Tribolium castaneum: one gene and its partner. The protein of the gene in region 2 purifies or fractionates together with the protein of the main gene of each other region. This does not show direct contact. Links are inferred from orthologs where the notes say so. Each region holds a gene or a part of one and is shown on either strand. Other genes may lie near its edges. The genes, in order: Polr3B and Polr2K.

Evidence for each region.
Region 1: the proteins of Polr2K (region 2) and Polr3B purify together in Homo sapiens (affinity purification with mass spectrometry; 3 studies listed by BioGRID and IntAct, with this or other methods). This does not show direct contact. The link is inferred for Tribolium castaneum from reciprocal best matches to the Homo sapiens genes POLR2K and POLR3B.

The regions. Positions count from the first base shown.
Region 1 is NC_087398.1:9,958,260-9,962,825, forward strand, and holds the start of Polr3B (DNA-directed RNA polymerase III subunit RPC2), read right to left. Parts: upstream 2,991-4,566; 5' UTR 2,848-2,990; coding exon 2,797-2,847; intron 2,743-2,796; coding exon 2,588-2,742; intron 2,540-2,587; coding exon 2,363-2,539; intron 2,295-2,362; coding exon 2,006-2,294; intron 1,958-2,005; coding exon 1,635-1,957; intron 1,491-1,634; coding exon 1,247-1,490; intron 1,197-1,246; coding exon 996-1,196; intron 1-995. UniProt on the Homo sapiens protein: Catalytic core component of RNA polymerase III (Pol III), a DNA-dependent RNA polymerase which synthesizes small non-coding RNAs using the four ribonucleoside triphosphates as substrates.
Region 2 is NC_087394.1:4,870,949-4,873,402, reverse strand, and holds Polr2K (DNA-directed RNA polymerases I, II, and III subunit RPABC4), read left to right. Parts: upstream 1-1,357; 5' UTR 1,358-1,485; coding exon 1,486-1,549; intron 1,550-1,602; coding exon 1,603-1,695; intron 1,696-1,763; coding exon 1,764-1,786; 3' UTR 1,787-1,829; downstream 1,830-2,454. Other genes in the region: Pfk (ATP-dependent 6-phosphofructokinase), read left to right, coding at 1-52, 384-608, 672-894, 948-1,077. UniProt on the Homo sapiens protein: DNA-dependent RNA polymerase catalyzes the transcription of DNA into RNA using the four ribonucleoside triphosphates as substrates.

The DNA of each region.
Region 1 (4,566 bases), on a different chromosome or scaffold from region 2:
TCTTAATTTTTAGCAAAAAACTTTAAAAGTTTACATCTTGTTAAAAGATGGTTTTATACGCAAAATAAGCCGCTGAATTCAATGGAACAAACCGCATTGCTCTACGACTTTTAGTTTTCGAGTTATGAATTTTTTTTTGGTAAATAAAATTTTTGACTATAGATATTGCCTATCTTAATTTTTAGCAAAAAAGGCTTCCCACAGCAACGTGTTTTAAATTAAAATATTCCAACAAAAAAAGTTAAATTACACTCGCATAAGCTCGTTGCATAACGACAGCTCTAGAACTTTAAGCTTAAGCTTTTGCTCTCGTATTATTAATAACTATATTAACTACAGCATTGGCTTGCGTTCGATGTTTTAAACTCTGCTCAACAGAGCCTGACAAGGTAAAGAAGTCGTATTAACAAAAAAAAAGGAAATTTTATACAAATCATTCATACAGGATAACCCTGCTCAGCTCCCGTCTTCTGTAGCTTAATTATTAGTAAAGTTAGACTTCTATACAGGGTGAATCAATAGTGAGTTATTCTGAATTTCTATAAATATGCAACCAATAATACTTATTCCAGCTGACCAGATTGGTAATCGTTAAAAAATAGTCGTTTATTATACAAGTAAAGAAAAGCTGTTCATTATCTGTGAGTGATGGGTTTCTGAAAGGAATTACGAGCAGATAATGCCAACTTTTCTTTACGTGTATAATAGAACGTTTTTCCCTATAAGTACATCGAGAATTTTTTTTTTAATTTTTTCACCGATCGAATAAAAAAATCACCAAACAGCTACTTTATTCTATCAATTTTTGTTGTATGGTTTTAACTGAAGTGTTTGCATTTTGCGAGCAACGAGCACAATTTAAAAACGTGCGAACGCTATTGCTAGACAATCAATGATAAAAACAGAACTAAATGGCGTAAGACAAAAAAGAGTCAGAGAATTTAATTTGCTCCGTAATATTATGTATAAAAAAGCAAACAAAATTTACTATATACCTCTCCTTCGGGTGTATCGCTCGGACACAGCATTCCCCACTGACTCGGCTGCAGAGACCTGGGTCCTGAAACCTTCCTCGTTTTCTCAAACTGCGAATTAACTCTGGTCATCATCCCCAAAGCGGAAATGTAGCTCAACCGTGACAAAACCTGAGTCACACCCAAACGCTCCATTCGGAATCGCTTGATGGTCCAATTGCCCTGAAACCGACCAATCAGAAGCCGAATCGCGGCGATTTGTGATTGGCTACCGTCGAAATTGCGTAGACCAGACAATTGGTGATCAGATCCGAGCGCATATACTTGACAACGTCGAATTGAGTCGCTCGGATTTTTGGGATGGTTTTTTCAGCGATGGATTTTAGTTCCCAGTTAAAGCGTTTGAAAACGTCCTCGAACATAAGAGAAAGGAGAGAGCCGGCCAATTCGAGACGCTTGTTGCCGTAGTAGTCTTTGTCATCCATGAATTTCTTGTCCGACTGTGCCTCAATCACCCTTTTTTACAAAAAATTGTTAAATATTGTACCTTGAAATTGGCAACACTCAGACAATTGACAAGAGAATTTTATACTCAGGGTTGCCAAATTAAAATTTCAATTTTTTGTCACCCGGTGATTATGATCTGACTTTTTTATTTACCTTTTGACCATCACTCCCAAATAAATGGCCTTCATCCTGAAATTGTAGTTTTCCACAGGCACGTGGGCTAGAACAGTGGTCGCCAAAACGTCCCTCGCTTCATCAACTGGCGTTTTCATTTTGCTAGCAGACGTCACGTAACGTTTAGCTACTAATTTCGAACCTATGTGTTTAAGTGCCCCCAGCTGAGTGTAAATTTTTAAAGTGTGGCACTCCTCTAACGTTGGAGTGAGTTTAGAAATATCCTCAACTCCGATCAATTCGCAGATTTCTTTATCACTTGTCACATCCAAAGCTTTGAAGATGATTGAAACAGGGACTAACTGCAAAAATTTGTTGGGAATTTGACGATGAATGCACAAAATAATTACGTCAGTTAGGGAGTTATGTCCTAGGTAGTACTTGTTGGCCTTGCATACGACGTTGGTTCGCGACTTCTTCTCATGTGTGGAGCTGGTGACAGCGCATTGGACCCCAAATTTGGACTCTTCAACTATCATTCGATTTTTGGAGAGCTGTTCTTGGATTAAGATCACTTTTTCTTGGCCTTTGACGACGAAATAGCCGCCGGGGTCTAAAGGACATTCGTTCATTTTTGCCAATTCGTACTCGGATTTGTTGGTGAGGACGCAGTTGGAGGAACGGAGCATAATTGGCATTCTAAATTGTTATTTAAAAAAATTATTGGTGTTTTTACAATATTTTTTTTTATTTTTCTAATAAATTACCTGCCAATCATTAAACCAGCTTTGGATACCCGCTGAGTGCCTCTAGTGTACTCAATATCTACGGAAATGGGGGCTGAGTACGTCATGTCCCTCAGCCTACATTCATGAGGGGTTGTAGGTTTGCTAATGTTGAAGCCTTCGTCAACGTCCGGTCGTCCAACATAAACATTTGTATATCTACGAAATTAAGATAAAACCAAACTTATAAAGCGCCTTATAATTTACTTGACGTAGAATAAAGGATCGGCATCACAAACTAGTTTGTTGTTGGCTTCCACGATTTTCTTAATATCAACGTTGATGAAGTAATTGAACGAATCAATGTGTTGCTTTACTAATCCTTTGACTTTTAAAAAGGCGGGCACTAGTTTCCATTTTTCCTAAAAATGATTTTTGAATACCTTTTAGGTTTTGTAATTTGAAACTTGAATTACTTCGATTTCTTTGATTGGTTTTTTGAGAAGGGCGGGATCGTCAAAATCCATTTCAGCGCTTTTTGTTGCAACTTATTAATTAGTTTATCACTGTTACGCTTAATAACTATTTGTTTACATGTTGAAAATGTGAAGTTAAACATGTAGGTTATGTGGTGTAGAGAGTTGGGTGTACAGGCAACCAATTATACGGTTTTTCGAACTGAGTTTTTTTCGGTTGCATTAAAACACGATTGCAAAAACTATTAAAAATTTCAAAATTTTAATAGTATATTAACTTTAATATACTATAGTTTTATACTATATATACTAGTCTTATACTATATACTTATATAGTGTGTGTTTTAAAGACCAGATTTCACAAATACTTTACATAATTTTTTATGGGTACTTTGAAATTGTAAGTACTGATAAAAATCCAAATAATGTAATGTGAAATTAGTATACTTTTACATTGCCATGAAATTTATTGTCATTAATAAAAAATTAAAATTAATAAAAAAAATCATTTTTAGGTGATATGCTACTTAAGGGACGTCAGATTTAGAAAAGAAACTTTGCCACCGTGTTTTGTTACGAAAGAAGCCTCCGTTCGAAAAATCGTATGATTGGTTGCCTATAAAAACTTACTGAACAATCTAAAATAGCAAATAAAATACAGTGGAATCCGGCTGTAAGTTATAACATATTCAGAAAATGCATCAAAATCAGTTCATTATATACAAAGTTTTCTATAAGTGGTAAATTAAAAAAATGTTTTTTGTTGGTAAAATTTTAAGCCTTTTTTAATATCTGAATCCTAGACTATATTAGTATATGAGATCTCAAATTACTTACTTGCACTGAATCATGTATGGTACAAGAGCCTCTAAAGGTTCATATTTGATTTATTTGATTAAAATATACATTTGAAACAAATGATTGTCAGAAAACTAGGTTGTAAACATTATCCAAATAAATTACCCTGGTTTTAGTGTAATTATTATAGAACTCCGTTGGATATTACGATACGCAAATCGCGTATCGTAATGAAAGTGACCTCAGTACGAAACCGAAATAGAAAAACACTATTTTAAAACACGTTTCCCATAGCAGCGTGTTTTCACTATTTTAAAAGACGCTTCCCATAGTAACGTGTTTTAAATTAATGTTTTCACTATTTTAAAACTCGCTTCTCATAGCAACGTGTTTTAAAGTAAAATGTTCCAACAAAAAAAACTTAATAATACTTATGCGAAAACGCTTAAAGTTCCGGGTTCTCGCATACGCTCGTTGCATAACGACAGCCCTCGAACTTTAAGCTTGTGTTTTCGCACTCGTATTATTAATAACTATTTTTAGCAGTTATTTTTACTTTACATATCAAAAGACGAAATAAGTATATCTATTGTAAAAAAACATGAATTCTGTGAGAACATGAGAACATTGAGAAGTAACATGTACGAGTATACTGTGTGAATTGTATAATTCTTTTTACTATCACTCATTGTGCAACCTCCTAACAAAGCTTATTTGAACGGAACATGGGAAAAATGAGTATTCTTTTAAATAAAAAGTTTTGTCTATTACATTTCCTAAGCTCGTTGGTGATAAAATTAATAACTTATTAAGAATGACAAAGAAAAGTTCAATTACTGATGGTGTTCACAATTAATTGGCATTGCTATTGTGTTTGAAAAAATAAAAAAAAAAACACTTTAGAACGCTAGAACAGTTTTAATGATTTATTTTTATTTATTTTATTATAGTCACCTAATGAGCATTGCACTT
Region 2 (2,454 bases):
TTTATTATTGAAACCATGGGCGGGTATTGCGGATATTTGGCCACACTTGCAGGTAATATCGATATTAAGTTGGCAACATTGTATGAAATGAAGACAGTTTGTGTCTCAAAACGTAAAATATTCGACCCTATACAGGTTGTTTCAGAACTACTTAGTTTTTGACGTAATTTATTTCTTCCAAAATCCTCCATTTTAGAAATAAAATATAGGAGTTCGTATTACTTGTATTATCTTATTTCTGATACACCTTGTATATTTGATGCATGGGGTAATTAAATATCTATTAATGATATAAAAAAGGTAAATATTAATGTTTAAGTTTGACAGTCAATGTTGCCAACACATTCATTATTCAGCATCGCCAACTTATTTTCACATGTTAGGTCTCGCTGGGGGTGCGGATGCTGCGTACATTTACGAGGAAAAATTCACAATTAAAGACTTGCAACAAGATGTCTACCACATGGCTACGAAAATGTCCGAAGGTGTACAACGTGGTTTAATTTTACGTAACGAAAAAGCGTCAGATAACTACAATACCGACTTTATCTACAGATTGTATTGTGAGGAAGGAAAAGGCTTGTTTAGTGCCAGGATGAACGTTTTAGGTATTTATATAGACGTTTGTTTGTTTAAAAATTTAATACTTTTTTTGTGTGTGTATTGTTAAGGTCATATGCAACAAGGGGGTTCCCCCACACCTTTTGACCGCAATGTTGGTACCAAAATGGCGTCCAAAGCGGTCGAATGGATGATCAACCAATTAAAAAGCAATATGAGTTCAGACGGCTCAGTCAGTTGTTCTAGTCAAGACAGCGTCGTTCTGTTAGGAATCGTTAAAAGACAATACAAGTTTACACCAGTCGCTGAGTTGAAAGAACAAACCAACTTTGAGTACGTTTATAAATTATTAAACTGTTTTTTATAATTACTTTAAATTGTTTTAGCTTGCGTATGCCTAAAGAGCAATGGTGGTTGAAACTGCGCCCTCTATTGCGTATTTTGGCAAAACATGATTCGACATATGAGGAAGAAGGGATGTATATGACGATTGAGGATCGCAGTTTTATTAATTAAAGGCAACCGTAGCCATTTATAGTGAATTTGTATTTTTTAGCTTGTTTTATTTATTTTATTGTGTAGTTTATTTTATTAAATGAGATATTGTAAACAAATTTTGGCCATATTGTGATGACAATATCGATATTTGAAGACGGGTCAAGTGTTACAAAGTACGATTCGAGCTGGGTATGTGGAATGGACGTATTATATTTCAATAAAATTTTAATAAACTATCAAAAATTCCTGCACCTTTTTGAATTTCGCGCTTGTATACGTTGGCGTTGCCAACCGTTGGAATAACAAAAAAAAGATGAAATTCCCTAAGTCGGCATGGTGGCGTTGTTTTTATACAAAATTTATTAGAGGAGAAAACTACGTTCCCGCTCGTTTGTATTAAAAATTGTGCTAATTTAAGTGATTAGGATGTCGGAACCTTCGACCAAAGACTCAGGGGCCACGAAAACTCCCATGGTTTACATTTGCGGAGGTACGTGAAAGTGAGGTTATGTTTTGATTTGAAAATTTTCGAAAATTATTTAGAATGCCACAATGAGAACGAAATAAGGCCGCGGGATCCAATCAGGTGCCGGGAATGTGGGTACCGTATTATGTACAAGAAGAGAACCAAACGATGTATCCTTTTATTATCAATTACTAACACTTGCAAATTTTCAGTTAATTTTTCCTTAACTTTGATCCAGTGGCCGTGTTTGACGCCCGGTGAAAAAATTGTAATTAATTAAGGTTGGAATAGAGTGTTTTTTACATTGGGGTTATTATTTGCAAACCTGTCTTTCCCCTTTCCTACGTCCGACAATTCAAGCACCTTGGGCACCACCTGGGGCAATGCATCGATTTCCCAGGGCCCAGTTGTAGCGAAAATTTCAAGGTCTCGCGCAAGGGCAGTGCAGGACCACTTTCTGCAACGCAACCTCCTCTTTAACCAAATTCAAGGTCGTCCATGTGCGATCAATAAAACTAAATACACGCAGGTTCTACGCCGGTGTCTGAGCGCGCCGGTCGCGACGTGTGGCTTCGCCGTTGAAAACGCCGAGAGTAAAAAATTCGCCGATTTTTGGACTGACAATTGTCGGAGGAGTGAAGGTGGTGCAGGACGTGGGGGCCAATGATGGCCGTCTAGGGCTGCGATAACTGCGTTGTGTTATTGCACCACGTGCTGAAAGGGCGCCGGCGAGGTTTACCGTTGCGTGCCGGTTTCCCGCCAGCGCACTGAGGTAATTTTGATTTTTGAAGTGTTTTTTTGATTTTCCCCAAAATGTTTTTTTGAGCCTAAGAGACCACAACCATGGTGTGATTTTATTAAATTTTATGGAAAAAACCTATCACGTAGGATAGGTTTTAAGGTTTTGAGACATTGGACAGCCATGCATT